Caenorhabditis elegans: one gene and its partners. The protein of the gene in region 1 purifies or fractionates together with the protein of each later gene. This does not show direct contact. Each region holds a gene or a part of one and is shown in the gene's direction. Other genes may lie near its edges. The genes, in order: tag-151, riok-2 and byn-1.

Region 1 (9,652 bases):
CTGCATTCACCCGAAAGCTTGTCCTCCAACACGAGGTTCAACTAGAAGTAGAGAGCACCGATAAGAATGGAAACTTTGTTGGATACTTGTATGTGTCTCCAGATGGAAATACTTCACGAGCAATCAATCTAAGCGAAGCTCTTGTAGAGAATGGACTTGCTTCTCTTCACTTCACAGCTGAGCGAAGTGGGCATTACAACGCTCTTCTTTCCGCCGAAAACAAAGCTAAGAAAGCTAAGAAGAACATTTGGGCCAACTTCACGGAAGAGCAACACCAAGAGGAAGTTGAAGTACAACAGGCAGATACATCTGAGAGAAAGCAGAACTTCCGTCAAGTCGCTGTTACTGATATTGCTCCAGGAGCTCTTCGTTTCTCGGCTCAAAACATTGAAGATGGGCCAAAAATTGAAAAGATGACAACCGAGATGAGACAAGCTCTTGCCGAACATCCACCACTCGCTGGATCTTATACCACCAAGCGTGGAGATTTGTGCGTTGCCAAGTTCTCTCAGGATGGACAATGGTACCGTTGCAAGGTCGAGAGCGTTCGTGCTGGGCAAGCAGAGATTGTTTACATTGATTACGGAAATCGTGAGACAATTGAGGCTGTCAAGCTTGCTCAAATTCCAGCAGGATTTGCCAATTTCCCAGCTGGAGTTAGAGAATATAACCTTGCTCTTGCTAAGCTTCCAAACGAGGATTACGTCCAACTCACTTCTGATGCTTTCGCCCAGTACTTGTTTGGTCACTCTTCGGTATTCATTAACAGTGAGTACAAGGTCGGAACTTCAGAATATGTAACTGTAAGTTTTAATTTCTTTTTAATGTTCAAAATATTACAAAAAATTGTTTCAGGTTTATTACGACAGTGGAAACAAGAAGGTCGACATCGGTAAATCTCTTATTGCTGAGGGACTCGCTCTTGCTGATCACCGCCGTGAGCCACGCCTGCAGACTCTTGTCAATGACTACAACACTACCGAAGAAGTTGCTCGCAAGTCGAGAAAGAACATTTGGGAGTACGGAGATTTCACCGGAAATGATATCTAAATGTCTACTCAGTATTTTATTCAATTCGAACCCTGCCCTGCCCCTCCCCCAACCAGAAAAGTTTTATCCTCACAACACATATTCTTTTTTATTAATGAGTGTAACTGTGATGTATTGTACCCGATTCTAGTTATTCAGAGATCGCCCCCGGTGGTGGTTTCTCTTGTTTCTTGTTCAATTACGTATCTTTTCGTTTTTCCTACTTTCCACCGGGTTCGACTTCTTCTCCCCCCCCCCCCCCCCTTTTCCCTTTTTGCACCACAATTTTGTTGGGTTTTTCGAGTACATATTCTGAAGAGTATTTATTTATATATATTTATTGCTCTAATTTATTGTTTTCCGGTTTAAAAAATTCACTGTTGTAATCTGCATGGAATGAATAATTTATTGCCTTGTAGTTTCAAAGTATTCAGGTTTTTTTGTCAGTTGGTGTTGGTTATTATTCCAGGTACTTAATTATGATTTATCTAAGTATTCTAAAGTAAAGGAAATTTAAATAAAGAAACAATTATTTACCAGATGAGTACAACTGGCCATCGTGCGGGAGTGTTCAAGAAACCTTCAAAGCCCCACAAGTCTTGGAAAGGAAAACGGACGAAAGGAGAGATTACATCTGAAAATCGAGGTAATTACCGATTTTAAAAGTCCTTCAAATAGCTTCACAGGGATTTTTTCCCTATTAAACACTTATTTAAATTTATTTCGAATTTCAGGACGAGAAGGTGTCAAACAGCTCACGCGTTCTGCTCATTCCACCCACCGTACCATCTCCAAAGATGCTCGACGTAATCAGCTCAAAATGGCGAGAGATCAAAAAATGGCGGATGCAATGGAGAGACGCAGAACATCAAATGCTCCGTGTCTAGTGGTAGGGTTTTTTCAACTTGGAAATTAGTATTAAAACGACAATTTTCAGACTGTCGTTTCTCTCGGAGTTGGAGCTCGCCCAACAGAGTTCATCAAAAAGCTGGCAACATGTGACGAAACAATTATTCAAACGACTTCTCCATCCACCATTGACTTTGCGATTCCTCGCTTCAAATCTCGTGTATCATTCCTTACTCCAGATAAGGATAATGTTGATGGTGTTCTTGATGCGATTCGAGCATCTGATGTGCTTTGTTTTCTGTGGCCAATGTCTGCAGAGCTCTCCGAATGGGATGAGCAACTTTTAACGATTATCAAAGCAAATGGACTTCCAACAATTGTTAGTGTTGTTCCAGGACTTGGGAGTATTGCAAATCACAAGAAGAAGGAAGATGTTAGAAAAGGAATCGAATTTATCATTTCAAAATGGAGTATGAGTAATGCTGGAGTTATGCCAGCTGATTCTGTCACAGATAACCTTCAACTTTTGCGAATCTTGAATGAAACTAAAAAGAAGCCATTGACTCTTCAAGCCAGACATTCTTATATGCTTGTTGAAAACTTGGAATGCTCGGACAAAACTGGAGAAACTTGCACACTCGTCGCCCAGGGATATCTCAGAGGTCCTGAATGGAATGCTAACAATTTGGTTCATCTTCCAGGATTCGGTGATTTTCAAATCTCAAAAATCGAATCAACAGTCGATCCTCATCCATTAAAAGCACACAACAAAACGCCAGAAGCTCAGATAATTGCCAAATCTGATGATAAACGCCAGAACACAGAAACGGAGATCACACCAGATTCTATGGACGGAGAACAAACATGGCCAACTCGGGAAGAACTTGAAGAAGCTGATAAGGAGCTCCGTCGTGTGCCAAAAGGAACTTCGTCTTATCAAGCAGCATGGATTTTGGATGACGAGGATGACGAAGACGAAGAAGATTCCGATGAGGATATGGATGATAGTGATAATGAAGAAGTAGAGGATGATTCTGAAGAAGAAGAGCCTATGGATGATTTGAAATCAGAAGCCGGTGAAACTACTGCATCTGAAATGATGTTTGATGATGGAATTGATGAAGACATCAATATGGCAGAAGTTGAAAAATACCGAAAAGAGCGTGAAAATGCTCAATGGCCAGATGAGGTGGATACACCGATGGATATGCCAGCTCGAATTGCTTTCCAAAAATACCGCGGACTCAAAAGTTTCCGAACGTCTACCTGGGACCCGAAAGAGAATCTTCCACTGGATTATGCGAGAATTTTCCAATTTGCAAATTATAGAAACACCAAGAAGAATGTGATGTCAAAGATTGGTGGAAATGATGTAGATGCAGATTCAGTAGCCGATAAGAAGTTCAATGGAGCATTTGCAAGTGTTTTCATCGAGAATGTTCCAGTCGCCGTCCTAGAAGCTTACAAAGACGCCAAAAACTTGGTGCTCTTCCAGTTGCTGCCTCACGAGCATAAAATGTCTGTTCTCAATATGGTTTTGAAGAAACATCCATCTTGCACAATTCCAATCACTTCGGATCAGAATCAAAAGTTCATTTTCTATGTTGGATTCCGGCAATTCGAGGCGAACGCCGTTTTCTCATCGAATACACCTGGCGATAAGTTCAAGTTGGAACGATTTATGCCGACTGAGAAGACATTTGTGGCGACAGTCTACGCGCCGATCACTTTCAATCCGGCAACGGTGCTGTGCTTTAGACAGGACGATAAGGGAAGGCAGGTAAGAATAGAATGCGGTTCAAAATGAAATTATTTGCACGAAGTTGTTCTCATCTAAAATTATCCTAAAATTATAGATAATCACTTGTTTTTTCTGAGAATAACATTTATTTTAGCTAAAAAATTTGAGAAAATGTTCGAAAATTGCCTAAAAGTTGTCAATTGCCGATTTTCGCATTTTCGAGCTTTGGCTTTGCCAAGTTTCATGACATTTTTGAACATTTTCTTAAAAAATCTAGTGATTTACCATACTTTGACATTAATTATAAATGAAAAATGTTGGAACAACATCAAAAATTAAAAGAAAAACGTTTCAGGAACTTGTTGCCACTGGATCGATTCTCGACAGCAATCCTGACCGAATTGTGCTCAAAAGAACTGTTCTCGCCGGTCATCCATACAAAATTAATCGACGCGCCGTTGTTGTCAGATACATGTTCTTTAATAGAGGTTCGGCAATTTCAATTCAAAGTTTCAAAATTTCATTTTTCCCACTTTCCAGAAGACATTGAATGGTTCAAACCAGTCGAATTGTACACACCATCCGGACGTCGTGGTCATATTAAGGAAGCCGTTGGAACTCATGGAAACATGAAATGCCGATTCGATCAGCAATTGAATGCCCAAGATTCTGTGATGCTTAATCTCTACAAACGGGTCTTCCCCGTCTGGAACTATTCTATTTTTGTACGTAAAAATTCTGGAAATTAAAAAAAAAAAATTACTCCAAACTTGCCCTGGATTCCGAACATCTATGTTAAAAATTTCAAAAGTTTTTATCTCAACTTGAAGTCGTCCAAGGTTTTTTCAAACACCGAATTTTCACAGCAGTTTTGATTTACGAGATTTTTTAAATCTTTATTTTATTCTGATTTCAGTTTTTCAACGAGTTTCCTTCAGTTTTGTCGGAATTTAAACAAAAACTAAAAAGTTCTGAAAATCGAAAACTGAATTCAGCATGAATTAAAAAAAATTTCGGAACAAGGGGCAAATTTGGAATATTTCTAATTAAAAAACCCTATTTGTAATCTTTTAACTTTTACAGAACCGCTCCCTGAACCCATCTCGCTTCGTTGAACGTTCTCGAGTCGAAAGCATCAGTCTTGTCAATGAGGATGCTATGGAGGAATAGATTCCAATGTTATTTGTTGTGTTCTTCAAATTTTCTGTTAACTCATATTATCTTGTTGTTTTTTCCCCAGCTCCAATCGCTTCTTCTTCTTGTTTTTGTTAACTTTTTCCCGTTCTTTTCAGTGCTCCCATGTTCTTGTTTTGTTAAAGTTTCGAGACATAAAATTCAAAATGTTTATTTATCGAAAAGAAAACAAAAACATGTACAGCTAGAGAATCTAAATAGCCAGTTGAGTTTTTACAATTTTTTGTCATCTAATAATTTTCCACAACAATTCTATAGCTCTAGCGTTGAAACAAGTGACAATCCCGAATATTACTGGTAAATGCTTGTGAATTCGTCATATTGAACCATTGTGGAACCCGCTGCCATTCCTGCTCAGCCCAATCGTACTCGAGCCATTTGAGCCGCGATTCGCACAGGAATAACGGCTTTCCACGTTTCAGATTCCGATCCTCTTCCTTGTGAGCATCCAGGTAGATCGTACCCCATATGGCCGCCTGTTTGCCACGTGACACTACAACCATTGATGACGTCACGGAAAGGAAGAGACCCGACGATGAGGAACAGTCTTCGGCATGCTGGAAATAGGGAAAACAGTTTTAAAAATATAAGGACGCAGAAAAATCTGTGTGAAAACGCTCCGCCCCCAAGGGTTGGGTCTCGCTAGGTATTTGGCGGGAAAACCGTAAATTCAAATGTTTTCAATGTTTTTAATCGAAAAAAATTGTCGAAATTTACATAACTTGAAAAAAAAAACGAAAATGATTGAAAACGTTGCAATTTCGTTGCAACCCTAACGAGACCCAACCTTTGGAGGCGGAGCGTTTTCAATTGACCGTAGAGCGCATTTCCATTCAAATCTTACCGCCTCAATCTCCGACATACTGATCACCCGATCACTTCCCGACTCTTGATGGGCCATTCGGCAACAATCGTTCAGGCAAAGAATTTCTCCACAGAAAAGGCACATGACTGGGTAAGATGGGACCTGAATTATTTGGGAATTTTTAAAAAATTCGACAGATATCTCATACCGATGAGCACTTGTTGCATTCTCTATGGAAATATCGGCCAAAAAGCTCATCGAAATTGGTTGGTGGCTTGAGGATTCGCCGAGGTTTCCACGCCAATGGTTCGACGATGCACGGTTGGAACTGAAGAAAAAACTGTATTTTAGTACAGATTGTGTAGTGAAATCTACAAAAAAAGTCCACAAATAGTGTTCAATGAACTCGGAAGTTCATTGAAAAGTCAAAGTGTTCGACATGGTTTTTCAAATGCAAACAAACACTCAAAGTGCTCTAAACAGGAGTTGGGAGACTTTTCTGTTGAATAGCAGAAGCTAGGCGTAGGCATAGGCATAGGTATAGGCTTAGGCTCAGGCTTAGGCTTTGGGTTAGGCATAGGCTTAGGCTCAGGTTTAAGCTTAGGCTTACGCCTTCAAACTAGTGCCTTCACTCTTAGGCCCCTTAAGTCTTGCATTAGGTTTAGGCTTTGGTTCAAGACTTTAGGCGTACACCTATTTCAAGCTGAGCTTTGATTTTTTATTCAAAAAATATTTTTTCTAGTTCTGGATTTTTTAATTCTTTAAAAAAATTTTGTCTCATAGATAACTGTTCGTGAAAAAAATACAATTTTTTAAACTCAAAATCCCTACCTCGGCGGGTCTTGGCACGAGGAAAACGTCTTAGCTACCATACCCAGGATGTACCTTAAATGTGGGAAGTTTCGTTCGTGTCAGGACCCGAGGCAGTGATTTGGGGTGAAAATCGGACTTTCTGGCGAACGGGTAATAATTATTTAAAAGATAATTAAAAGTGTGATAGCTCAACAAATTATTCAAATTTTATTTTTCGATTTGGAAAAATTATCAAACAATCGTATCAGTTAGCATGTAATAGTAAACATTTCCGAGCAAGCCCCGCCCAAATCTGGGCTTCTCTTTATTTTTTTTGCACGACATATTCCCTTACAAATTCCCATTCTTCATAGCTTTCAAGTAGTCCACCACCACCAAGCAGCTATATTTTAGGTATACGTTTACATAACCTTTCCTATCTATTCTACCGCACTTTGCCACCCGAGACTCCCCCCGCTTTTCCAGACCACCCTCCTCCATTTCTTCCGTTTCTGATGCCGCCTGTGAATCATTGTGTTGTTTATTTATTCCACGACTGAATCGATTTCACAGTTTTTGTTTATTTTCTTTTCTTTATGGTGGCTTTTCGCTGCTAGCTGAAAAGGTCGGACGGTCCTCAAGTTTAATTTTTTCGGGAGAAAAACGTTTTTCCTGATTATTTTTGTCACCTTCACCTCTATTTCAATTTCACTGGTCTATTTCTATTTCGCCACACGTATGAGCGTGTGACAATTGAAATTAGAGATAGTGTGTGCTGCAGACACAACGAGACAACATTATTTGCTCTTGGCATACACAGTTACACATCGAAGCTAGAAATAATTTCCGTCACTTCGTTTTGAAACTTTTCTCATTCTTTGTGTCTGTGTTGTAATTCCAAACATTTCCAGAATGACAACGACGTCCTTCGGATCTCTAATCTCACAGAATGAAACATCGTTTCCCGCAGGGGTAAGCATATTCGTTTGACGGTATTTGTTTGCACATACACAAACAACATGGTCGACTGACTTTTTGGTGCGAAACGAGTAGAAGAAGAAGGAAACCCATCAAACCATATAACTACACAGTTTCCTATCTCCTCACCCTCTCTCCTTCACCGCTCATTTTGTTTTGCGGTAGAATAATAATTATTATAGCGTGTATTGATTTTTAAGCAAGTAGTATTATCTTGAAAGCTTCAACCCCAAAATGTTCGATCTGAATCATTTTTCAGTGCTTTTTTTCTAGTTTAGTGGTATAAATAATTGCCCAAAATATGTTCTTTTGGAGTGTTTAAAAAATGTTTTTCAGTTGATCTTTTGGAAGTGTTTTGTTTTTTTTTTTTTCAACAAATTAAAAAAATTCTTCAACGTTCCAAGAAACTTTCCCTACCCTTACTATTATCATCTTTGAAACCATTTTCAAAACTATGCAAAAACAATTTTTGAGCAATCGAGCCTCTGAAGAATTAAAAAAAAACATGCACTGAAAATTTTCAAATCAAATTTTTCCAGTGACACTCTCAAAATAAACAAATTCGAATGTCATATAACCGAAACTTTTCAGTATTCCCAACGAAATTCTATGGCAACATCCGAAAGGATGGGAGCATTCGGCGAAATGCGACACACTCCGTCTCCAGGAACGCAGAAGCTTCGAGTTGATATGAGCAGTTCAGGGTGAGTCACGGGTTTCAGGGACGTACAAGAAATGTTTACTTATAAGAAAAACTTTTAAAAATTTCAAGCAAAAACTGAAATGTAATGTTTTCTCAGTTTTTGGAAGATATCTGATGGATGCCAAAAATATGTTAAACCTACGAAACCAATTTCAATTTGGAAAAAATCTTTAAATTACTTGTCTAAATTTTGTGAGCAATTCCATAATTAGTCCGTAGATTTTCGAGCAAAATTATCTTTATAGAATTTTTCCCGATAAAAAATGCTCAAAAATTTGCAAATAATATACATTTTCCAGATCAACTCCAGTATCAAAAGTAGAAACACCAATTTTACCGTCAAGCTCAATGTCACAACATCCACCGAATAATCCTTTTCCTAGGTTAGTTTCAATTTTCAAAATATGTAGAGAAAACCCTCCAAAACATAAATTCCAGGGGCTCTCAAAGCTACAACTCATCCGGCTCCACACCCCTCCGTGTTAACACATCAAACCGAAGTTCCGCAAATTCTCAAAGACCCCTTCTCCCGCCTCAAGACCGTCCCGTGCGATTTCAGACGAATGGGCATCTACAACCATCAGTCTATATGCCAACGACACATTCTCAAGCAGATTCGAGTGAATCACGACGGAAACACGATAAGCTTTCAGATGTCTATTCGCAGTCTGGGGATACTGTAGAGTTTGCAAAGAATTTGAGTGATTATATCAATGAGAAAATTCCGTATCGTAAGTTTTTTTTCTCTACTTTTGACTTTGGAATTCTAATCCAAAAAATTTCAGAAATCAGTATAGCGGTTCTGAGCTGTTTCAGTCTTCTCGCATTTCTACTAATTATATTTGGTCTTCTAAACGCTCCATTCTGTGCAATTCAACCAATGATCCCAATATGGTTGATAGTCGAAGGAGTGCTCTTTATAATTTCTGCGACATTTCGTATATATTTCCTGATTCCAACGCCTAGGAGAACAGCCTATCGCAGACAACAGAGACAGCTCGGAGCAAGCTTATTGTGCAAAGGGTTGGAAATTCTCTTCGCACTTGCCAATATTGTTTGGCTGATTTTGGGTGAGTTACCGACAATGCTCCAGAAATTTTGCTCCAAAACTTGGGAGATAATCCATCTGTTTGAAAACGCGAATTTTCGATCAGTTTGAATGAATTACCTCCAAAACGAGAAGCTACACTCATTTTTAAACAAATCAGCTTCTTCCAACTCTGCCCTCTCCTTCTAATTGGTGGAAAAGTGGGCGAAGCTAATCGCTGATTGGTCGGTTTGAAGATCTAATTTTGGAGCAAAATTGCGATTTTTTAGGTTAATAATGTTGCTCGAATTCTTTAGTTTTTTTGTGGTATTTCTGAAATTCAGAAAAATAATATTACAGGCTGCGTTTGGGTGTATGGCTCGAAAGCATTCGTTCACTTCAACGAGGGAATGTTCGAACGTCATTACTGCGATCCAACAATCTACTGGTCTGCCTTTTTTGCTTGCACCGCATTTTTGGTAAACTCATCTCACTTTTTATTTTAAAATAAATTCAAAATATGTCTTATTACAG
Region 2 (11,624 bases), on another chromosome or scaffold:
TGGAGTCATCAAATCGGATATCGACGTTTATCAGGCGGTCGATGTGATGCAAATCGCCGAAAAATATCAGATTTTGGCGCTGAAAATGACCTGTGAGCAGCATTTGTTGGACCGGCTCAATGTGAATAATGTGCTCGAGTGTATTACACATGCGGAACGATATAATACTGATGTTTTGTATGATGCTTGCGTTGATTTTGTAAGTTTTAAACGGAAAACTCCCAAAATTTGCTTATTTCTTGTTGGTTGAGGCTTACACTACAAACTACCTTTTTTCAGCCTCACCAAACTTGTAATTCGCAATGTTGGTTGAGGCTTAGACTACAAACTACAATGTTTTAGCCTAACAATACTTCGAAATTCCATGGTTGAGGCTAATCGAATTGTAGTTTGTAGTCTCTCAGCCTCACCCAAATGCTTATAAAACACAGTTGGTAGAGGCTTACACTACAAACTACAGTCTATTCTAGCCTCAACCATTATTGTGAAATGCTTTTTTTCTGATCTGATTTTCCAGCTGAAAATGGAGAAAAATTGACATTTTGACAGAAAAATAGGCTCAAACTACTAACTACAACGATTTTGTTCCATTTAATAATTAAAATATTTCCAGGCAATCCACAATCGTCAACATGTAATGGCTCTGACGTCATGGCGCAACTTCATCAGCGATGAGCCGGTTTTGGCGAGCAACTTGCTGGAAAAGATGGTGAAATCGAACGATAACTCGTCACCGCCGGTCAAGAAACCTCGTGTTTAGCAGCTAATTCTTTTTCAAAATCCGCTCTTTTTCATAGATACTTTCTAGTCATACTTCTCTCTCCTCTAAATCCCCCAATTCTGAACTCTTTCTCGAAAAATTCGCTGTGATTTTCTCACTCTCATTCTCCGTCGTCGTCTCTCATTCGTTTTATCCACCTCTTAAACCATTTTTTCAATTTTGCAACCGCCTCAACAATTTGTGTGTGTGTTTCGCCTTTTTTGCATATACCGCTTCATCGGCGACAGTTCCCCCTCACAAATCCCCCCCCCCCCCGGTGATATGTTTTCCATTATTTCAACCGCCCTCACCACAGATTCACCCTTTTTCACCGGCTTCTCCTCTGTACCTTTTTTCCGTTCACCACCAGCGCGCGTTCATTTATTTCCTATCGTATGCCATCGATTTTTGTGTATATGAAGCTCTTCGATTTGGTTTTTTTTTGGGTTTTTTCGAACGAATTTGGATGGTTAAATTCAGGAATTTCTACATGAAAAAAATAGAAAAGAATTGAGAGAGTCTACGATGAATTCGCAAGCCTGGCACGGTTTTGTGGGCGGGGCGTCAAACTAGATTTTCGTTGGAAAAGTGCAATTTCCTTTATTTTTTGTGACTTATTTTGTTGAAAAATATTCAAATATAATTAACAACTCCTATTTGTAGAAAAAATCCAAAAATTCGCTGAAAATTCGCCGAAAATGCAAAAATTTCAGCGTTCACCAAAAATCCGTTGCAAGCCTGGCACACTTTTGTGGGCGGGGCTTAGCCAATTCTGTTTTTCCTTTTTCTTTCGAGGATTTTTCATGTTTTCAGCTCATTTTTCGAAGTTTTTCATCATTTTTTATGGTTAATTAATTGAATTTCAGTAAAAATTAACAATTTTAATGTTAAATTCGGTCTGAAAAATCGGAAAACTGGAAAATTTAGGCTAAACATGGATTTTTCGTGAATTTCGCAATTTTTAAGTGGTTTTCCAGTGGACTCCTAATTTAAATTGATTTATTAACACAATATTATCGATAAAAATTGTTTTTCCGCTTTATTTTTTCCTAATTTGTAAATTTTAATTCAAGTTTTCAAAATCTATATTCCAGATGGGTCGAATGAACGTTTCGATGATGCGATACCTGGAAGGTGATCACTTCCGGGTACTGATCGCCGTCGAGATGGGCATGAAGAATCACGAGGTCGTTCCGTTGGCTCTTGTGTCAGCAATTGCTGGAATTCATAGAGGAGGTGTCGCCAGGACGCTTAATGACTTGTGCAAGCACTCGTTGGTCGCTTTTGAGAGAAGCAAGAAATGTAAGGAGGAAATTCCTGCAAAAAACGGCTGAAAATTCCAGTTTTGAGTGATAAAAAGTTTTGGTTGAGGCTCAGAGACTACAAACTACAACCTTTTGAGCCTCAACCATACCGAAAACTCGTGGTTGAGACGGAAAAATGTATTAAATTTATAGTTTTAGAACATGTTTTCTGATGGTTTTTCGAGAAAATCGTGGTATTTAGTTTAAAAAAAAAGCGAAAATCCAGATAAAACTTCAAAAATTGCATTTTTAAAGAATAGGCGTTTGGTTGAGGCTCAGAGACTACAAACTACACATTTTCTAGCCTCAACCATAACTAAAACTCGTGGTTGAGGCTGAAAAATGTAGTTTATAGTTTTAGAACATGTTTTCTGTTGGTTTTCCGTGAAAATCGTGGTATTTAGTTTTACAAAAGCGAAAAATCCTGTTGAAACTTCAAGAATTGCTTTTTTTTTAGAAGAATAGGTGTTTGGTTGAGGCTCAGAGACTACAAACTACAAGTTTTCTGGCCTCAACCACACACTGGTGAGGCTAAAATTTGAAATTTGAGTTGTAGTTTGTAGTCCATGAGCCTCTCTCAATGCGAAATCAGCTGGATTTTGATAAATTTCCAGTAATTCTTGTGCGTTTTCCAACTAATGTAGGCATTATCTCAATTTAAAGTTTAGATTACAAAGCTTTTGGTTGAGGCGCAGAGACTACAAACTACAATTTTGAGTTTTTTTAGCCTCAACCAACGCGAAATCAGCTGGATTTTAACAATTTCCATTTATTTCCATCAAAATAAATAATATTTTCAGTTGATGGCTACCGTCTCACAATCCGTGGCTACGACTACCTCGCCCTTCGAGCCCTGTGCTCCCGTGAAGTCGTCGGAAGTGTCGGAAATCAAATCGGAATCGGAAAAGAGTCGGATGTGTACGTCGGTGGTGACCCGGAGCTCAACGATCTTTGTCTGAAATTCCATAGATTGGGTCGCACGTCGTTCAGGAAAATCAAAGAGAAACGTGATTATCACAAGAAGAGAAAGAGCGCCTCGTGGCTTTATTTGAGTCGTCTGGCCGCTGCGAAGGAATTTGCTTTTTTGAAAGCTCTTCAAGAGCGGGGATTTCCTGTACCAAAAGCTGTGGATGTATGTCGACATTTAGTCGTTATGCAGTTAGTTGTTGGTCAAACTCTCTGCAATGTGACCCACGTGGAAGACGCTGGCGCCCTCTACGACAGACTTATGGCTCTTATCGTGAAAATGGCTCGGCACGGAGTTATTCATGGAGATTTCAATGAATTCAACCTAATTATGCTGGAAGACGAGCGAATTGTGATGATTGATTTTCCACAAATGGTATCAATTGATCATCCGAATGCGGAATATTATTTCGATCGAGATGTCACATGTGTTCGGACGTTTTTTAAACGAAAATTCGACTATGAAAGCGAGGATTGGCCGAAATTTGATGAAGTTGAACGGAAAGGGAATATGGATGTACTGCTCGAAGCGTCGGGATTCACCAAGAAAATGGCGTTGGATTTGAATAAAGCGTACGATGAAGGCGATTTTTTGGCACATTGTGAGCAGGAATTGAGGAATCGGCAGGAGGAGGATTTGGGGGAAGATGAAGATGATTCCGATGACTCTAAATCTATGGAAGACATTCAGGAAGAGCCTGAGGATCTCGAAAAAGACCACGAAGAGCTCCAGGCTCAGGAGAACACCGTCAAACAGCAGAAAATCGTGCTCTCCCAGACGACACGCTTCACAGATTGGCTCTCAGACGCCACAAATCAACTGGAAGCCGTGGATCTTGATGCTCTGAAATCGGAGGAAGGTTATAAGGATATTGAGTTGCCGCCGGAGGATTTTAAGCGTCCAGCCGATTCTGAAAATGACGATGAAAATGATGAAGATGAGGAGGAGGGGGAGGAAGAGGACGCGGATGGCCACGTGGCAGTTGAGGAGCAGGTGGCAAAAGTTGTGAAAAAGAAGAGAGTGCCAAGTGGAGCCAGAAGTGTTGCCAGTAGTGCTGCCACGTTTACGGCTGAAGATGTTAAGAGGCGACTGGCTTTGGATAGAAAGAGGAATAAGGAAAAGGTCTCATTTTTGTACCGAAAATCGAGAAAAAAAATGGCACCAGTTTTTGTCTGAAATTTTTGAGGCCCCACGAAAAGGGGAGCAGACCAAAAAAGGGATCTGCAAAAAGGGGATCTGTGAAAAGGGGAGATACGAAAAGGGGAGCTGGCACTGTCACTGCAACTTTTTCCTCACGAGGGACGAGGAAAAGTGGTTTCTAGGCCATGGCCGAGGGGCCGACAAGTTTCAGCGGCCTTCTATCTTGCTTTGTTTTTCGCCTGTTTTCTTTTGTTTTTCAAAGCTTTTTCCCGTTTTTTCTTATTAAAACTGATGAATAAATACTTTTTGCAGATGCTAAAACAATTTCCAAGTAAAAAAATTATGTATTCAGTGGGCAAGCAGCGGTGAAAGTGGGCAATGCAATATGATGGATTACGGGAATACAAAACCTAAACTTTTTCTGAAACATGATACATATGCTGCTTAAATGCTGAGACTACCTGATTTTCATAACGAGACCGCTGAAAAAGTTTTGAGGTTTTCAAAATTCAACTTTTTTGGTGAAAAAGTCGAGATTTTCGCACAAAAAGTTGAATTTTGAAAACCTCAAAACTTTTTTAGCGGTCTCGTTATGAAAGTCAGGTAATTTCAGCATCTAAGCATCATATGTATCATTTTTCAGAAAAAGTTTAGGTTTTGTATTCCCGTAATCCATCATATTACAATGCCCACTTTCACCGCTGCTTGCCCACTGAATACATAATTTTTTTACTTGGAAATTGTTTTAACATCTGCAAAAAGTATTTATTTATCAGCTTAAATAAGAAAAAACGGGAAAAAGCTTTGAAAAACAAAAGAAAACAGGCGGAAAACAAAGCAAGATAAATGGCCGCTGAAACTTGTCGGCCCCTCGGCCATGGCCTAGAAACCACTTTTCCTCGTCCCTCGTGAGGAAAAAGTTGCAGTGACTGTGCCAAACGCACAAAACGCTTTTTTTATTCTCATTCAACGCACGACTTTGTTATAACCACACTCCGTTATTACGCATCGCGCGCGTTGTTTAGCGTAAAATACAAAAAAAAGTCGTGCGTTGAATGAGAATAAAAAAGCGTTTTGTGCGTTTGGCACAGTGCCAGCTCCCCTTTTCGCAGATCCCCTTTTCGTGGGGCCTCAAATTTTTTTTCTCGAAATTTTTGTACCTGAAACATTGCAACAAAAAAATGTTCAGCCACGTAGAATCGTGGAAATTTTATCCATTTTATGGGCGGAGCCTGTTTTTGTCTGAAAATATATATTTTTATTTTTTGTGTTAAACTTTGCAAAAATTTTCAATTATCAAATTTTTTTTGAATTTTTTGAAAATTTCGATTAAAAATTTCATTAAAAACTTTAAAAAAAAACAAAAAACTTTTTTTCTCAAAAAAACTCAAAAAATAATAAACGGTATAAACGGTATAAATCTGGTCATTTTTGTACCAAAAGTGCCATTTTATAAGCGAAGACTGTTTTTGTTGTGAAAATTTTTTTCGAAATTTCAGAATGGGCGGAGTTGTTCAAACTTTTGCTCAAATGTGCAATTTTGAATTTTTGCACATTTGAGCATCCATTTTGTGGACGTGGCCAGTTTTTGTCCGAAATTCACTTTTTTTTTTGAATTTTGTGTTTCATTGTCATTCTAAAAAAATGTTGCTTTAAAAAAAATTTAGTTTTGCTGATTTTGAAATATTGTTCATAGAAAAAAATTTAATTTAAAATTTTTAGAAAACCGACCATTTTGTGGGCGGAGCCAGTTTTCGTCTAAAATTCCTTTTTTTTTAAAGCGAATTCTGAAAAAATTCTGAAAAATAATCACTTACGCGGCATCATAGTAATTATTTTATATTTTTTTGAAAATTGCACGTTTGAGCATCCATTTTGTGGTGGGCATGGCTAGGTTTTGTCCTAAATTCGCTTTTTTTTTTGAATTTTGTGTTTCATTGTCATTCTAAAAAAATGTTGCTTTAAAAAGAATTTAGTTTGCTGATTTTGAAATATTGTTCATAGAAACGTACTTAAAATTTGGAATAAGTCATCATATATTTAATTTCAAATTTTTAGAAAACCGACAATTTTATGGGCGGAGTCAGTTTTTGTCTGACAATATTTTTTCTCGAAATTTCTGTATCTGAAACATTGCAAAAAATTATATAGGAATTCTTTCGGTATCGTCCATTTTGTGGGCGTGGCCAGTTTTTGTCTGAAATTCGTTTTTTTAAAATTTTCTGTGTGAAACTTTGCAAAAATTTTCAATTATCTTTTTTTTTTGGAATTTCTTGAAATTTTCGACTGATCATTACATTAAAAATTAGTTTTTTTTACTGTGAAATCCTTAAATTTTTTGGAAAATACGTTTTTTTACAAAAAAAAAAATTCACAAAAATCTCAAAAATTAATAAAAAAGTATTTAATTTCTACTTTACTGTAATTTATTAATATTTTCCTTCCAAACTCGTAAAACTCTTTTAAAAAAATTCTGAAATCCTTCCAACCTTCAGTATAAATCAATATACCACAAAAATTTCTAAAATTTATCCAAAAATTCCAGATTCGACTGAAGGTCAAAGGAAAGCAAAGCGCAGTGGGCCGTAACCGAAAAGACAATAAAGATGTGATTGCCGAGTACGCTGGATGGATTTGATGATTTAATAATTGTTCTCGTTTTTCCCGGAAAATTCGTTTTTTCTATTCTTTTTCACCTGTTATTATTACCATTGTTATATGTTTTTTGTTCTGTTAACTTCTCCCCTTCAATATAAACGAAATGATGCGTTTTTTTTCGATTAAAATGCAACATTTATCGTTGACACGTTCGTAACTTTCATCGTCGCGCCGTCTATTTCAACTGATAAGATAATCTGATCAATCTTCTTTTTTTTTTTGATTGATAAGATAATATTGTCTCTTTTAAATAACCATTCACACACTTTTCTTTTTTTCAGAAAAATAGTTCTTCATTTTCGAAAATGGCTCCAACTCGTGCTGTCATTCCTGATGATTTTGAGGTTTGTGTGATTCAGATTTTTGAATTTTGAATTAAAATTTTCACGATTTCGAGAAAAATATCCACATTTAGCAGCTAGAAACAAAAAAATTCAAGAAAAGTGCTTAAATTTTCATTAAATTTGAATTTAAACAGTTTTTTTAGTTTTTGGTGAGGCTCCTAGGCTACAAACTACAACGATGTTTTAGCCTCGCCAAAGTTGGTTGAGGCTAGGAAACATTGTAGTTTGTGGTCTGACGCCTCAACCAACTTTTCCAGAAATTTTTTCAAACAATTTTGATTCAGGATTTTTAAAAAATTTCGAATGAAAATTGCCAAATGTGCATGAAATTTCCAAGCTTTAGTAGCTGAAAACAAAAAAAAAATCAAAAAATTTTAATTTAAACAGGTTTTTTTTTAGTTTTTGGTGAGGCTCCTAGGCTACAAACTACGACGAGTTTTAGCCTCACCAAAGTTGGTTGAGGCTAGGAAACATTGTAGTTTGTAGTGTGACACCGCAACAAACGGTGGTTCCATCAATTTTTGTGATTCAGATTTTTGAATTTCGAATGAAAATTGCCACGATTTCGAGAGCAATTTTCACATTTAGCAGCTGGAAACGAAAAAAAATCCAAGAAACAGGCTTAAAATTCTATAAAATTTGAATTTAAACAGTTTTTTAGTTTTTTGTGAGGTTCTCAGACTACAAACTACAATGATGTTCAGCCTCACCAAAGTTGGTTGAGGCTGGGAAACATTGTAGTTTGTGATCTGACGCCTCAACCAACTTTTCACTTTTCCAGCAATTTTTTGATTCAGATTTTTGAATTTTAACTGAAATAAAAAAACTGCAGGAAGTTTATAATTTAGCAGCTGGAGACAAAAAAAAAATTCAAGAAAAATGCTTAAATATCCATAAATTTTGAATTTTCGCTAATTTAAGTTTTTTTGGTGAGGCTCTCAGGCTACAAACTACAAGAGTTTTCAGCTTCATCAAAGTTAGTTGAGGCTAGAAAAAGTTGTAGTTTGTAGTGTGAACCAAAAATTGACCGAAAACGTGATTTTCAGTTAATTTTTGACATTTTTTTTAACAAAAAATTCTCGATTTCTATCCATTTCAGCTAAAAACTCACAATTTTGCAACCGTTTCTCCTCATATCAGCAGAAATTCATTAAAAATTACGTTTTTTTTTCCAAAATTTTGCCCAGAAAAACTAGTTTTCAACAATTAAAAAGAACAATATTATCCATATTTTTGTTCTAAAATAGTTAAAATCTGCAATCTTCAGTCAAAAATTTTCAACTTTTTCAAGTATTTTGTGAAATTTCGAACATTTTCAACATGGTTGAGGCTAGAAAGATTTGTAGTTTGTAGTCTAATTGATTTTTGGGCTAAAAATGTGCAATTTCATTTATTTTTAAACGTCGTTTCTTGCAAAATTATGGCGAAATTGTAAAATTTTAAATTAATATTTAATTTTTGCAGCTCCCAGTCGACGCATTCGACATTCCAATCTGCTATGACGGTGATTTATCCGGTGTCGTGATTCCGGAAGGTCTTGTTAGAGATCGTGTTCGTCGTCTGGCTAAAGGTAAAAACAGTTAAAATTTAAAAATTTCTCTCTAATAGCCCTACAACGGACTTCTAGCTCCCTCAAATTTGAAAATGGAAGAGATGGAAACCTCTTCCACGGCCATGTGTCGATTTACGTGACAATTGTAAAATCGTCTTCTCCTCCTCGAAGAGTACACGAGGGCTGCGTAAATCGACACACAGGGCCGTGGAAGAGGATTCCAGCTCTTCCATTTTCAAGTATAAGGGAGCTTGGATTGAAGGATTTCAAAAAATACAGAAAAATTTCAAATTTTCCTCTAAAAAAGTGTCAACGGAATTTTTTCGATTTTCCGAAATTTCGAATTATTTTTCGATTTTTCTAAAATTACCTTGAAATTTTGTGTTCTAATTGTTCTTTTTAGAAGACATTTTTAATTTTTCTCATGTTTTTTAACAATATAAACAAAATTAGATTAGAAAATCGAATTTTATGATTAATTTTTTTTTTCGATTTTTCGATTTTTGTTCAGATTTTTCGGAAACTAAAAAAATTTTCCTATTTTAGAAGTTTTTTTTACGGAAAATCCGAAAATGGACAATTTTTCGTTGATACATTTTTTTTTGAAGAAATTGAAGAAATGCGATGACGGAAAAGTTTCGAATAAAAACAATTATTTTCAGAAACAAGACTTTCTGCTTCAATATTATTTCTTTAATTTCTTTAAAAATTTTTCTTCTAAAAACTGCCAAAATTTTTTTTTTTTTTTTGAAAAAACTTCTAAAAATTTTCGATTTTTATATTTGCTGGAAAATTGATCAGAAAATTCTATTTTTTTTTTTTCTAATTTTGTTTATATTGAAGAAAAAAAACCTAGTCATCAAACTTTTAAGCTAATTTTAGAAAAATCTGAAAAAATTAGAAATACCGGAAAATTTTCGTTTTTCGATTTACACTGTAACTTTTTCCTCACGAGGGACGAGGAAAAGTGGTTTCTAGGCCATGGCCGAGGGGCCGATAAGTTTCAGCGGCCATTTATCTTGCTTTGTTTTCCGCCTGTTTTCTTTCGTTTTTCATCGATTTTTTTCGTTTTTTCTTATTAAAACTGATAAATAAATACTTTTTGCAGATGCTAAAACAAATTCCAAGTAAAAAAATTATGTATTCAGTGGGCAAGCAGCGGTGAAAGTGGTCAATGTAAAATGATGGATTACGGAAATACAAAACCTAAACTTTTTCTGAAACATGATACATATGATGCTTAAATGCTGAGACTACCTGATTTTCATAACGAGACCGCTGAAAAAGTTTTGAGGTTTCCAAAATTCAACTTTTTTGGTGAAAAGGTCGAGATTTTCGCACAAAAAGTTGAATTTTGAAAATCTCAATACTTTTTCAGACGTCTCATTATGGAAATCAGGTAGTCTCAGCATTTAAGCAGCATATGTATCATGTTTGGGGAAAAGTTTAGGTTTTGTATTCCCGTAATCCATCATATTACAATGCCCACTTTCACCGCTGCTTGCCCACTGAATACATGATTTTTTTTACTTGGAAATTGTTTTAGCATCTGCAAAAAATATTTATTTATCAGTTTTAATAAGAAAAAACGGGAAAAAGCTGTGAAAAACAAAAGAAAACAGGCGGAAAACAAAGCAAGATAAATGGCCGCTGAAACTTGTCGGCCCCTCGGCCATGGCCTAGAAACCACTTTTCCTCGTCCCTCGTGAGGAAAAAGTTGCAGTGATTTAGTAAAAAATCAGAAATCATATAATTTTCTCAGACATCCACGCTGAAATCGGAAACAAACCAATCGCGCTGCTCTGCGTACTCAAAGGATCCTATAAATTCTTCACTGCCCTCGTCGAAGAGCTCACAAATGCTCGCTCATCGTGTCCTGAACCAATGACTGTCGATTTTATTCGAGTAAAGAGTTACGAGGATCAAATGAGTACTGGACAAATTCAAATAATGGGACTATCGAATTTGGATGAGCTCAAGGGGAAAAGTGTGCTCGTTGTGGATGATATTTCGGATACCGGAAGAACTCTTGCAAAACTTCTCTCAACTTTACATGAGACGGGCGTTGAGAAGACCTGGACCGCCCTTCTCCTGTCGAAACGTGTCAAACGTGTCGTGGATGTTCCAGAGGATTTCGTGGCTTTTGAGATTCCTGACAAATTTATTGTTGGCTACGGATTGGATTATAATCAGAAATTCCGAGATCTCGGACATATTTGTGTCATGAGCCCTGCTGGAATTGAGAAATATAAATCGGAATAATTTGGATTTTTACAATTTTTTTGAAAAAAAAAATTGAAATTTTTGAATGTCTAATTGTTTTTTTTTTGCTCTGCTATTCCTAATTACACTGTGATCTGCTTTAAATTCGTTATTAATTTTTTTAAAACAAATATACATTATTTTAAAAATATACATGTATTGCTTCAAAATTGTAGTTTTTTTTTCTAATTTTCGGTGTATTATGACCGTCAAGGTTTTGTCCTACAAAATATTTGAAATGACCAAATTTTTTCACAATTTTTTAATCGAAAAAAAAATGCAAAAACCACGAGAAACCGTAGATTTTTTAAAATTCCATAGAGAGAAAAATTGCAAGAAAAATTGCTTTTAATTAATTTTTTTTGGGAAAAATCAAAATTTTTCCGATTAAAAAAAATCGATGGTCGAGAAATTTCATTTGCTTTTTTTTTTTTTTGAAATTTTTTTAAAAAATCTTTTTTCAAAATACCGCGTTTTGCCAGTATAGCTTTAAAAAATTTTTTTACACATTCTGATAATTTTAATTTTTTTTCAGTTTTTTAATCGAAAAAATTCAAAATCCACGAGAAATTAGAATTTAGAAAAAAAATTTCGAGGAAAATAAAAATATAGCTTGAAATTAATTTTTTTAAACGAA
Region 3 (10,380 bases), on another chromosome or scaffold:
AAAAAATTCCAATTTCAAGAATGAAAAACATGAATTGGAAGAAAAGCGTTGTGTCTTCATAAAAAAAATATTTACTACAGCAGAGATTAGTTTTAAACCAAACTTTAAGGTTTTTTAATTTCGGTGATTTTATTTCCGTTTCAAACTAATTTTCTGAGATCAATTAAATCCCGAAAGAACTAAGATCAAAACTTCTCACGTCAAACAAAATGTTGACCTCTTTGCATCTTCTCATTTTTGAAGAAAGCCGTATCTATATTTAGAAGCCTCCCGCGCCGCGTGATTCATCAATATTTCAATGGTTCAATGTTTCTAGTGTTTGTTCTTCTCAACGATGACTTTTTTGCTGCACATCGCGCATTCTTTGGAATAATTTTATTTTATTCTCCAAGATTTTCGAGACATCAACATTTTCAGAAGAAGGCGGCAATGATGATGATAGGGGAAAAAAAGAAGAGGATGAAGACATTTGATTAAGCTTAATGAACGAAAAAGACATACGGACAACAACTTCATCGCATTTTTCCCTTTTTCATGGCCGTCTCCTTCCTAATCAAACAATGCAATGATGACGAATTTAGAAGAAAAAATGTTGAAAAGTTTTGAAAGTCCAAGGGACCATCGGAATACTCTTAGTTATAATATCACCAATCACTAAGATATTTGAAAAAGTCAAACATGAAGTCAACGCGTGGCACATCACAGTTACGAAAAATTGTTCATATTTTAGAATTTGGCTTTTTCCTTCTAACAAGGTATTATTTAAAGGCGAAATAACGGTTTTTAGTGGGGAAATTGTTCAAAGTGACTTCTATAATACTAAAAACCTAACATCATATATATTAAAGAAACTGTTAGCATTTACAGTCAGTTTCAATATACGCATTCAATTTTTTTCTCGAAAACTTGAAAGAAAATTTACAGAGTATTCTAAATATATTTGGAAAAGTGACTCTATCTTTTTCAATCAGTTCTAGACTTTTTTTGAATGCTTTTTTGACGAAAAATTTTCATATATTGCAAAAAAAATTTTTTTAGAAAAATGTGGTTTTTAATGGTTTCTAATCGGTTTGGTCTTTTTTTTTTGGTTTTTTATAAATTTAATTTTTTGGCCCGAAATTTTTATTTTAGTTTCAGAAATTACTAAAACCAGTTTCATGCAAAAAAAAAACTTACATTTCTCCAGAAGCGTTATTCGTTGATTCGGATCCTTCATCATCCGGATCTTCTTCGACAAGACATAGACCATTTTCCTGAAATAATTACTTACAGAGCAATACGAGTAAAACCCCAATTTAAATTTTGCTTTGCAATATTAAGTATATTTTAAAGAGTCTCTTGAAATCAGAACAAAGGACTTTCCTAGCTTCTCAGGTTTTTTTAAAATCGATTTTATCTTTTGCTGGTTTTAACAATTATACGCCCACCTGTATAAGCTGATCTCGCTGTGAAATTTCTTGTTTCAGCTGCTGTTGAGAAGCGTGTAACGCGTCGATGGTCCGTTTTAAAGCTTTAACTTCACTCGTAAGATCACGACATTCTCGAGATGATAAATTCAAGGATGCATCCTTCTCTTCAAGTTCATCTTTCAGAAGATCAACCTGGAAATTAAGATTTTTTCATAAATACTTTCGAATAAAACACCTCATAAAGTAACGTTGATTTCTCATTATCCAGTTGAGAATATAGAAACATGACTTGTTGAACACGATCTTGGAGCTCGATCACTTTATCCTGTGAATTATGAATTTATATATTGTTAAAAACAATTTAGATCACTCACATGCAACTGTTCCTGTGTCTGATTAGATTGGGATGACACTCCATTCGTGTTAGATGTTGACTGCAATTAACAACAAACAGTTTCTCAAAAGGAAAATTTATGTTAATTGGGGTTAAAATATAAAGTAACACGAGAATAGTTAGACATTAATTTAAAAACTTAGATTTTTTTTAATACGGCAGTAGTGAACTCGAACTCTACGAACTAACATTTTTTGGATCTCCAGGAATTTCGGTGTTTATATTACCCAGTCGCGAAAGTTTGCGCAAATAATACGGTACTAGGTCCTGACACGACAATGCTTTGTTAAATAAAAAAGGTATGCACCTTTTAAAAGTACTGTAATATGAAACTTTCGTTACTATGGTATTTTCAACGATTTTTTTTCCTTGTTTTTTCGAATATGAAATTACAGTACTCTTTAAAGGAGCGGTCCTTTTTTTTATTTAACACTAATTTGTCGTGTCGAGAAAGAGTACCGTATTTTGGACGAAAAATAGCGAAATTTATTTTTGATTTTCTAGGATAATTAATTTCGCAAGATTTTTTGATTATAAAAACATTTAAGAAACTTTATTTTAGGGCATCTTAATTTTGCGTGAAAAATCAATAACGAACATGTAGTTTTTCTTTAAAAGAAATCAAGAATAATTTATGGAAATCAGGATACTTTTTGAACTTTTTCAACGAAAATTTATTAATATTAAAAACGAAGGGTTACTGAAAATGAAAAACGTAGTTTCGAGAGTAAAACTTCAACGTCAAACGTGCATTCTCGTTAATAATCGACTTACAGCAGTATCATGACGATAAGCTTCCGCATCTTCTTCAACTTTTTTTTCTAACAACTGATATCTTCCTTGTCGGGCTTGTTCTCGTGTTTCTCGTTTCAATTTCATTCGAGCTTCCGCCTAAAACTTTTAGTTTTTAATTCGAATTTTTCAAATTGTTAAGATACCTCTCTGGAAATTTTGTCTAATGCTCTTTCTTCGGCTTCTGATCGGGTGATAGGTCGCCGGCGACCACTGGATGGGTATGAGCTCATGATTTCTGAAAATTGTATGTGTTTATGGTGTGTGCACAAGAAAGGAGAATTTGAATATTTTAAATGGCGAAAAATCAATAACGAACAGAGAGGAAGCAGCAGTGAAAATGAGTGTAATGTTTCCAACGCGCGTTGTGTCCGCGCGGATTCCGTCTTTCGAGATTTATGTCAATATGTGTGAGGGTTGAGTGAGGAGGAGGGAAATGAGGGAGAACAGCCTTCCGCAAAATTCAGGATTTTTATGGCCTGTGAACATGACAATGAATTTGATCTCTTTTTTTTATTTGATTTCAGATACCTTTTCTTCTCTGTATTTAATATTTATTCTTGTTCACAATACAAAACAGTCTACATAGGTCAATTTCTTCCTAATCCACGAACAATGCAGTTTTTGGCATTTAACCAAGCCCCTAATTCGGTGTCAACAGGTGTTTTTGAAGAGCAGATGGTGTTCTTCTCGTTTCTCTCTTATTCATCGCGTCTGGAACACCGCACGCTGTGCTCTCTACGGCTCTTACTCTCATTCGTCGCGCTCATTTGCCTAAATTGACCAGTCTGCTCGCTGTGCTCTCTCATCGTTCAACCAACATTTCTCACTTTCTTTATGAGGACCTCATACACACTCAGCCTTCTAACTTTCCTTATTATTTACTTTGGCTTCAAAAATCCAAATTAATTTTTTAAATTTCGAACCACTTTTAAGTGCATGTCACTGTCGTCAGTGTTAGTGATTACTCGTCTTTTTTTTACGCAGGTTGCATTCAAAAAACGGAAAAAGTATAGATTTTGAATCTATATCATTAAAATTATTTTAAAAATGAATTCAAAAATGTGTATAACCAAATGTACATAAAAATTATAAAGAATTGAATTGGTCAAATAAAAAAGAGCCATTTTTCTTCAAAAAAAATTGATGGTATGAATGTGCGCTCTAATGAACACTCTCTTCGCTTCGAGACCCGTCACTCTTGTTCGAATGATTTGGCCCGGTTTTGGGGCGGTTTCTTAGCCTCTTTTTAGATTTTAAAGCTTTTTTAAACGTTTTTTATGCTTTTCGTGTTAAGAATATATTTATTTCAAATGCTTTTTCTCAAAAAAACAAAGGTTTTTAGGTCGAAACTTTTCTTTCATTTCTTTTGGATGGGTTTATTCGAAAATTTTAGGATTGAGATACTGTATTTCGCAATTATTATTATTGAAGAACTATTTCAACACCCTTATCTTTGTATTTAATGCTGAAATACTTTCGAAATTTCATTTTACTTCAATTTCAGAAACTCAATCGCACTTCCAAAAGTTAATTTTTAACTTTTCAACCCACCTGTCATGACCGATGTTAAAAATGATGTGAACGTATCTTCGGTGGTCGATGCCGACGGCTTGATCGAGGTTAGTTAATGTACATAATTTATTATAATTTGAATACATTCAATTTTAGGGAAACTATGATCAAGTCGTCGAATCTTTCGACGACATGGAGCTCAAGGAGGAGCTTCTTCGCGGAATCTACGGATTCGGTTTCGAAAAGCCATCTGCTATTCAAAAGCGCGCAATTGTTCCATGCACCACTGGAAAGGACGTCATCGCTCAAGCCCAATCTGGAACTGGAAAGACTGCAACTTTCTCGGTCTCTATTCTTCAGAGAATCGACCACGAGGATCCACACGTGCAAGCTCTCGTTATGGCCCCAACCAGAGAATTGGCTCAACAGGTAAACTTTCTCACTCAGTGTATTTTAGTTATAGATTATTAGCAGATACTTTTAAAGAAAACTTTTCAAAATCTTTCTTTGTAGATCCAAAAGGTCATGAGCGCCCTCGGAGAGTACCTCAACGTTAACATTCTTCCATGTATCGGTGGAACCAGTGTTCGCGACGATCAACGAAAACTCGAAGCCGGAATTCACGTCGTTGTCGGAACTCCAGGACGTGTTGGAGACATGATCAATAGAAATGCTCTTGACACATCCAGAATTAAGATGTTCGTTCTCGACGAGGCCGACGAAATGCTTTCTAGAGGTTTCAAGGATCAGATCTACGAGGTTTTCCGTTCCATGCCACAAGACGTTCAAGTAGTCCTTCTTTCGGCTACTATGCCATCTGAAGTTCTTGATGTCACTAATCGTTTCATGCGCAATCCAATCCGCATTCTTGTCAAGAAGGACGAGCTCACCCTTGAAGGTATCAGACAGTTCTACATCAACGTTCAAAAGGATGTAAGTTTACTCGCCCAGTCTAAGAAATTGTTTTCATGAACCATTTTTTCAGGAGTGGAAGTTTGACTGCCTCTGTGATCTCTACAACGTTGTCAATGTTACTCAAGCCGTCATCTTCTGTAACACTCGCAGGAAGGTCGACACACTCACCGAGAAAATGACTGAAAATCAGTTCACAGTCTCTTGCCTCCACGGAGACATGGATCAAGCTGAGCGTGATACAATTATGCGAGAGTTCCGTTCAGGATCTTCCCGTGTTCTCATCACCACAGACATCTTGGCTCGTGGTATTGACGTACAACAGGTAAGTATAAATATTTGTGTTTATAATTCAATACTATGGAATGTATATATTTTAGGTCTCACTTGTTATCAACTATGATCTCCCATCCAATCGTGAGAACTACATCCATCGTATCGGACGTTCTGGACGTTTCGGTCGTAAGGGAGTTGCCATCAACTTCGTCACCGAGAACGATGCTCGTCAGCTCAAGGAAATTGAAAGCTACTACACCACTCAAATCGAAGAGATGCCAGAATCAATCGCTGACCTCATCTAAATTTTAATCCAATTCCGATCCCCTCCACGATTGTTCCACACGCTTTTCCCTTCCTCTTGTTTCCTCATATTTATCCATGTTATCTGTTTTCTCCTCCACCCCCACCGTCCCACATTTTTATTTTATGCGTGATTTCATCTTTTTAATCACCCCTTTTTAGTACTGGCCCTATCCCATCCAACTTGGTTCAAACATTCTAATTCTCTTTCAATTTAGAGTTTAGTATTGCCCCCTAAAAGTTATAGAGCCACCTTGGTTTTGTTTGACAAAATGTTTTTGTCTGGCGTTCTCTTTTTCTGGAAAATAATGAAATTGCGTATGTTACATTCATTTTAAATCTTATGAACAGGCTTCTGATCCTTTCAGAATATATTGAACACCGTAATTCTGCTAATTTTTAATTATGAATTTCCAGTAACATGGTGAAAAGGAATTTGAAAGGAAGGGGTGACAAATTATCAGCCAATGCTCCACTGGATAACCAGTTGGAAGCTGGTAAAGTTGCAAAGCAACGAGATGAGCTTCGCGAAAAGCAGAAGAGAAAAAGGGAAGACTCGCAGACAGACGAGGTCAGTAAATATTCAGGGAAAATTAAATATTATTTTCATTGACCAGAGAGTTCATAAAATTAGTTTCAGTTCGTTCCTGATTCGCTCTCATCAAAAATCTTGAATGAAGCTCGTAAGCAGCTTCTCGAAGAGGCACTGGAAAGACAAGAAACCGAATCAGCCACATCTAGTGTTCCAAAAAGGTAAATAAACAATTTATCATAATTCAATGCAAGTATTTCTGTTACAGACAACGCGGAGCTTGGCTTGGAGCTGATGCATCCGGCGACAAATCGGACGATGATGATGATGATAATGAAGAAGAAGACGACAATGGATTTGAAGATCAAGTTGTTGTAAGTAAAATCTATTTAGCTTCGTGATAATAATGTTAAACTCCATTTATAGGAACTCGATCCTCGAGATGAAGCTGATTTGGCTAGATTCCTCAAAAAAGATGCTATCCAAATGTCCACACTCTACGATATTATTCAAGCCAAAATTGAAGCTAAACAGAATGATGCAGAGCTTGCACTCAGCCAAGTTGATCCGAATGAGTTTAATGTAATTTTTAAGCATCGAGCCTTGAAGCATAACAAAATGTTTACAGATGCGTGACATGGACCCAGAAGTAGTTGAGATGTATGAGCAGATTGGACAGTATATGTCAAAATATCGCAGTGGAAAAGTCCCAAAAGCATTCAAAATCATTCCAAAAATGATTAACTGGGAGCAAATTCTTTTGTTAGTTGTCTGTTAGTATCGGATTTGAATAAAATAAAACATATTCAGCCTCACAAAGCCTGAAACTTGGACGGCTGCTGCTATGTATCAAGCCACAAGATTGTTTGCGTCGAACATGAACCCAAAAATGTGTCAGAGGTATTTAAATGCCGATTTTAGATATATCAGCTCTAAAACCGTTTGATTCAGATTCTACACTCTTGTTCTTCTCCCACGTCTTCGTGACGACATTGATGAATTCAAGAAACTTAACTATCATCTGTATCAAGCCCTCTGCAAAGCTATCTACAAGCCTGCCGCTTTCTTCAAAGGATTGATTCTTCCATTATTAGAAGTGAGTTTAACTTAAATATTTTTCATGTATATTCTTTTTTTCTCAGTCTGGAACATGTACACTTCGTGAAGCTGTTATCTTCAGCTCTGTCCTCACCAAAGTCCCGATTCCAATTTTTCATTCCGCTGCTGCTATGCTTAGGGTAACTTTTGTTTTAAAATATCTCATCAAAAACCTGTTGATATTTCAGATTGCCGAAATGGAATACACTGGAGCTAATTCCGTGTTTCTTCGAGCTCTCATTGATAAGAAGTATGCTTTACCGTATCGTGCAGTCGACGGAGTCGTTAATCACTTCATTCGTCTGAAAACCGATGAACGAGATATGCCAGTTTTGTGGCATCAGTGTCTTTTGGCACTGTGCCAGCGATACAAGAACGATTTGAATGCCGAGCAGAAGGCAGCTATTTATGAGCTGATCAGAGTAAGTTTAATTTTTAAAAACTATTAAAACTTCGAGTTTTATTATCACGAGAACATCTAGTTAGGAGAGTTATTTTCATGGCTTCTTCAGTCTCGAATCCTTACCAGACAATGGACCCGAACTAGGCCCAGAGTTGCCACCTGGACCGTTCGATGCGCTTGACGGTTTCTTCTTGTTACGTCTTCCAGTCTTTTTAGCAGTTTTATCTCTCATCGGATCTGACATTGGTCCAGTAGACATCATTTTTGCACGGAGCTGTCCTGTCGACTTGTTGACCGAGGTTTTATCTTTCTTTCCTGTGATTTCGTACATCATCTGGACAACTTGGCTCATAGTGGGGCGCTGTTGAGGATCGCGAATCCAGCACTTTTTCTGGAAAATTCCACATTGCTATGAAAATAGTGGAATGAAATAGAACTTACAATAACATCGGCAAGCATAGCTGGAGCCTTTTGACTAATCGGCATACGGTAATCATCGCGTCCAACCTTCTGATGTACCTGCACCACCAACATCTCCGGATACGGCTGAGCTCCATTCTCGATCACCTCCCAGCAGAGAATCGAGAAAGCAAACACATCAGTTTGTGGAGTATAAAGGAAGGAAACGATCGTTTCTGGTGAGAGCCATCTGATTGGAACTCTTTTGCTCGGATCCATCTGATACTCCGTTCCAACTCGAGATAAACCGAAGTCAGAGACTTTAGCCTGAACGTTATTAGTTATTAACTTTTAAATTATTTATAACATACAACGCCTTTTCCATAGAGTATGTTTCTGGCCGCAATGTCCCTGTGTATAATGTTTTTGCTGTGAATGTATGCCAGACCAGCTGCCACTTGTGCGATTATATCCAGTTTCTCAGGCCATTGTACCGATGAATTCTTCTGAAGATATTTATCCAGAGCACCACCAGGAACTAACTCCATGACTACTAGCAATGGTTCATCGATTGCAGCCACGCCGTAACATTTTACAACGTTCTTGTGATCGAATCCGCGCATCAGACGTGCTTCTGTGATGATCTCCTTGATTTGTTCTTTAGTCACTTTTTCAAGTTTTGCCTGAAGTTTCGTCATTACTTTTTATATAAAAGTCTAGTCCAACTCACAACTTTTATAGCGACATCTACTGTAGTCGATCCCATTTTCAGCGTCCCAAGCTTTACTTCTCCGAAAGCACCTTCACCAAGAACTTTTGTCATTGTAATATCGGCGTGATTCAGTTCCCATGATTGTCTACCGATAGGATTCACTAGAACACTGCTTGCAACTTCCTGAACAACAATAATTAGTCTATAATGTGCATGAATCGCTCGTACCTCACTAATTTTAGCCTGTTTGTGATGATTTACTAACTCAGTCAATGTTCCAAATTTAATTTTATCAGTGATTGAATATGCTCCGTCGCTTGTACGAATCACATAATGAGCAACTTCTTGACTTGTCTCGTTCTGCATCACCGAAATGATCAAATGACGTGCTTGTCCTTGAGGCTCTGACGTTCTCATCAGATAATCGCCATTTTTTTGAAGTAAAAGCTGAAAAAGTCGGTGCTCCTTTTAAATAAATATTACTCTCAAATTACCTTTACTTCTTCTCGTGGAAGAAGTCCGTGAAAGAATGGTTGCTCATTGATCTCCATTGCGCCAATTATGTGAAAAGAGTGTAGAATTAATTTCTACGATTATCGAAATGATTAAAATTTCACTTCTGATCGATCTTATGCGTGTTTTCTTCTTTTTTTTAATTTTTTTCCTGGCGTATGGGTTCACATCATTGGTCACGTAAATTTTTTTTTCATAATTATAAAGTTTAAGTCAGGTAATTTCCGAAGTTTTATGGTCCCATGAGTTCAATGTTTCCATTGTTTTTAACCAATTTCAATTTATAGTTCCATGGACACTATCTCATCTCGCCTGAAATTCGCCGTGAGCTCGAATCCAAGGAAACCGAAGACGGACATGTTATCACTTCAGTTGTGGTCGAAGGCCGAAAGACGGATAGTATGGAATTCTAAATCACACACAAACAGAAAGAGACGCAGAAGAGAAATATTTCCCGCTTTCACTCTATTCTGCACGTAGGCTTTGCTCTTTTCTTCTATTTCCATTATTGTTCGTTTCCCCGCGCCCCTCCCCAAAAATTGTTCATTTCTTTGTTTTTTATTCATCATTGTTGGTTATGTTACTCTCTTCCTCATTCAAATGAAATTGTTGTTGATTTTCTAAATACAAAGTATTAGTTTCAAAGAGCAAAGGTTTTCGTCCCTAACTTAATGCTTGTTTTTTCAAATTCATGTTATCATGTCTTTGACGAGAGAAAGTTTTCAGATTCGTCAAAAAAAAATGATAACCAGGTCAATAGGTATCGCTAGAAGATCCAATTCGATTAATTGCATTGTTGGATCAAATACAAGCACTTCATATAGTTTAGATGAATCAACAAAAAGATGGATTTCCACTAGGTTCAGAATTCGAAAATTTTAATTTTAATTGTTATAATTTTAGTACAAAACAACCAATGTCACTGATACCAACTGCAAGTAGCCTTGTTGCTTCTTCTCCGCCAAATTTGAAGCCATATCTTCAACTGATGAGAGTCGACAAGCCTATCGGTAATTTATTATTACACAGACGCGAAGTTTTGGGAGTTTTGCGCCGAAAATACGATACCTAGTCTCGACGCGATTAATTTTGTAAAATACAAACAAATGTGCGCCTTTAAGA

Evidence for each region.
Region 2: the proteins of tag-151 (region 1) and riok-2 fractionate together in Caenorhabditis elegans (co-fractionation; one large-scale study listed by BioGRID). This does not show direct contact.
Region 3: the proteins of tag-151 (region 1) and byn-1 fractionate together in Caenorhabditis elegans (co-fractionation; one large-scale study listed by BioGRID). This does not show direct contact.

The regions. Positions count from the first base shown.
Region 1 is NC_003280.10:4,708,725-4,718,376, forward strand, and holds tag-151 (Pre-rRNA-processing protein TSR1 homolog), read left to right. Parts: upstream 1-1,552; 5' UTR 1,553-1,569; coding exon 1,570-1,675; intron 1,676-1,763; coding exon 1,764-1,918; intron 1,919-1,966; coding exon 1,967-3,658; intron 3,659-3,974; coding exon 3,975-4,107; intron 4,108-4,159; coding exon 4,160-4,344; intron 4,345-4,702; coding exon 4,703-4,789; 3' UTR 4,790-4,966; downstream 4,967-9,652. Other genes in the region: tsn-1 (Staphylococcal nuclease domain-containing protein 1), read left to right, coding at 1-803, 856-1,050; F10G7.10 (E3 ubiquitin-protein ligase), read right to left, coding at 5,074-5,370, 5,658-5,780, 5,827-5,946; F41C3.8 (MARVEL domain-containing protein), read left to right, coding at 7,323-7,382, 7,980-8,092, 8,391-8,474, 8,530-8,822, 8,877-9,161, 9,479-9,597. UniProt on the Caenorhabditis elegans protein: Required during maturation of the 40S ribosomal subunit in the nucleolus.
Region 2 is NC_003279.8:14,650,262-14,661,885, forward strand, and holds riok-2 (Serine/threonine-protein kinase RIO2), read left to right. Parts: upstream 1-1,854; coding exon 1,855-2,062; intron 2,063-2,864; coding exon 2,865-4,153; intron 4,154-6,716; coding exon 6,717-6,809; 3' UTR 6,810-6,938; downstream 6,939-11,624. Other genes in the region: bath-40 (BTB and MATH domain-containing protein 40), read left to right, coding at 1-199, 614-760; hprt-1 (Hypoxanthine phosphoribosyltransferase), read left to right, coding at 7,135-7,173, 8,638-8,743, 10,488-10,987. UniProt on the Caenorhabditis elegans protein: Required for larval development.
Region 3 is NC_003281.10:6,925,983-6,936,362, forward strand, and holds byn-1 (Cell adhesion protein byn-1), read left to right. Parts: upstream 1-6,018; 5' UTR 6,019-6,022; coding exon 6,023-6,172; intron 6,173-6,241; coding exon 6,242-6,354; intron 6,355-6,401; coding exon 6,402-6,507; intron 6,508-6,559; coding exon 6,560-6,715; intron 6,716-6,761; coding exon 6,762-6,895; intron 6,896-6,943; coding exon 6,944-7,033; intron 7,034-7,084; coding exon 7,085-7,229; intron 7,230-7,275; coding exon 7,276-7,371; intron 7,372-7,419; coding exon 7,420-7,653; intron 7,654-7,678; exon of another isoform or gene 7,679-7,728; coding exon of another isoform or gene 7,729-8,025; intron 8,026-8,075; coding exon of another isoform or gene 8,076-8,360; intron 8,361-8,404; coding exon of another isoform or gene 8,405-8,716; intron 8,717-8,763; coding exon of another isoform or gene 8,764-8,928; intron 8,929-8,973; coding exon of another isoform or gene 8,974-9,192; intron 9,193-9,239; coding exon of another isoform or gene 9,240-9,296; exon of another isoform or gene 9,297-9,337; intron 9,338-9,545; coding exon 9,546-9,671; 3' UTR 9,672-9,880; downstream 9,881-10,380. Other genes in the region: flap-1 (Leucine-rich repeat flightless-interacting protein 2), read right to left, coding at 1,177-1,253, 1,428-1,601, 1,645-1,734, 1,784-1,843, 2,578-2,694, 2,742-2,828; inf-1 (Eukaryotic initiation factor 4A), read left to right, coding at 4,155-4,217, 4,267-4,539, 4,624-5,043, 5,096-5,347, 5,403-5,603; F57B9.8 (Tyrosine-protein kinase), read right to left, coding at 7,729-8,025, 8,076-8,360, 8,405-8,716, 8,764-8,928, 8,974-9,192, 9,240-9,296; coq-2 (4-hydroxybenzoate polyprenyltransferase, mitochondrial), read left to right, coding at 10,000-10,118, 10,162-10,268.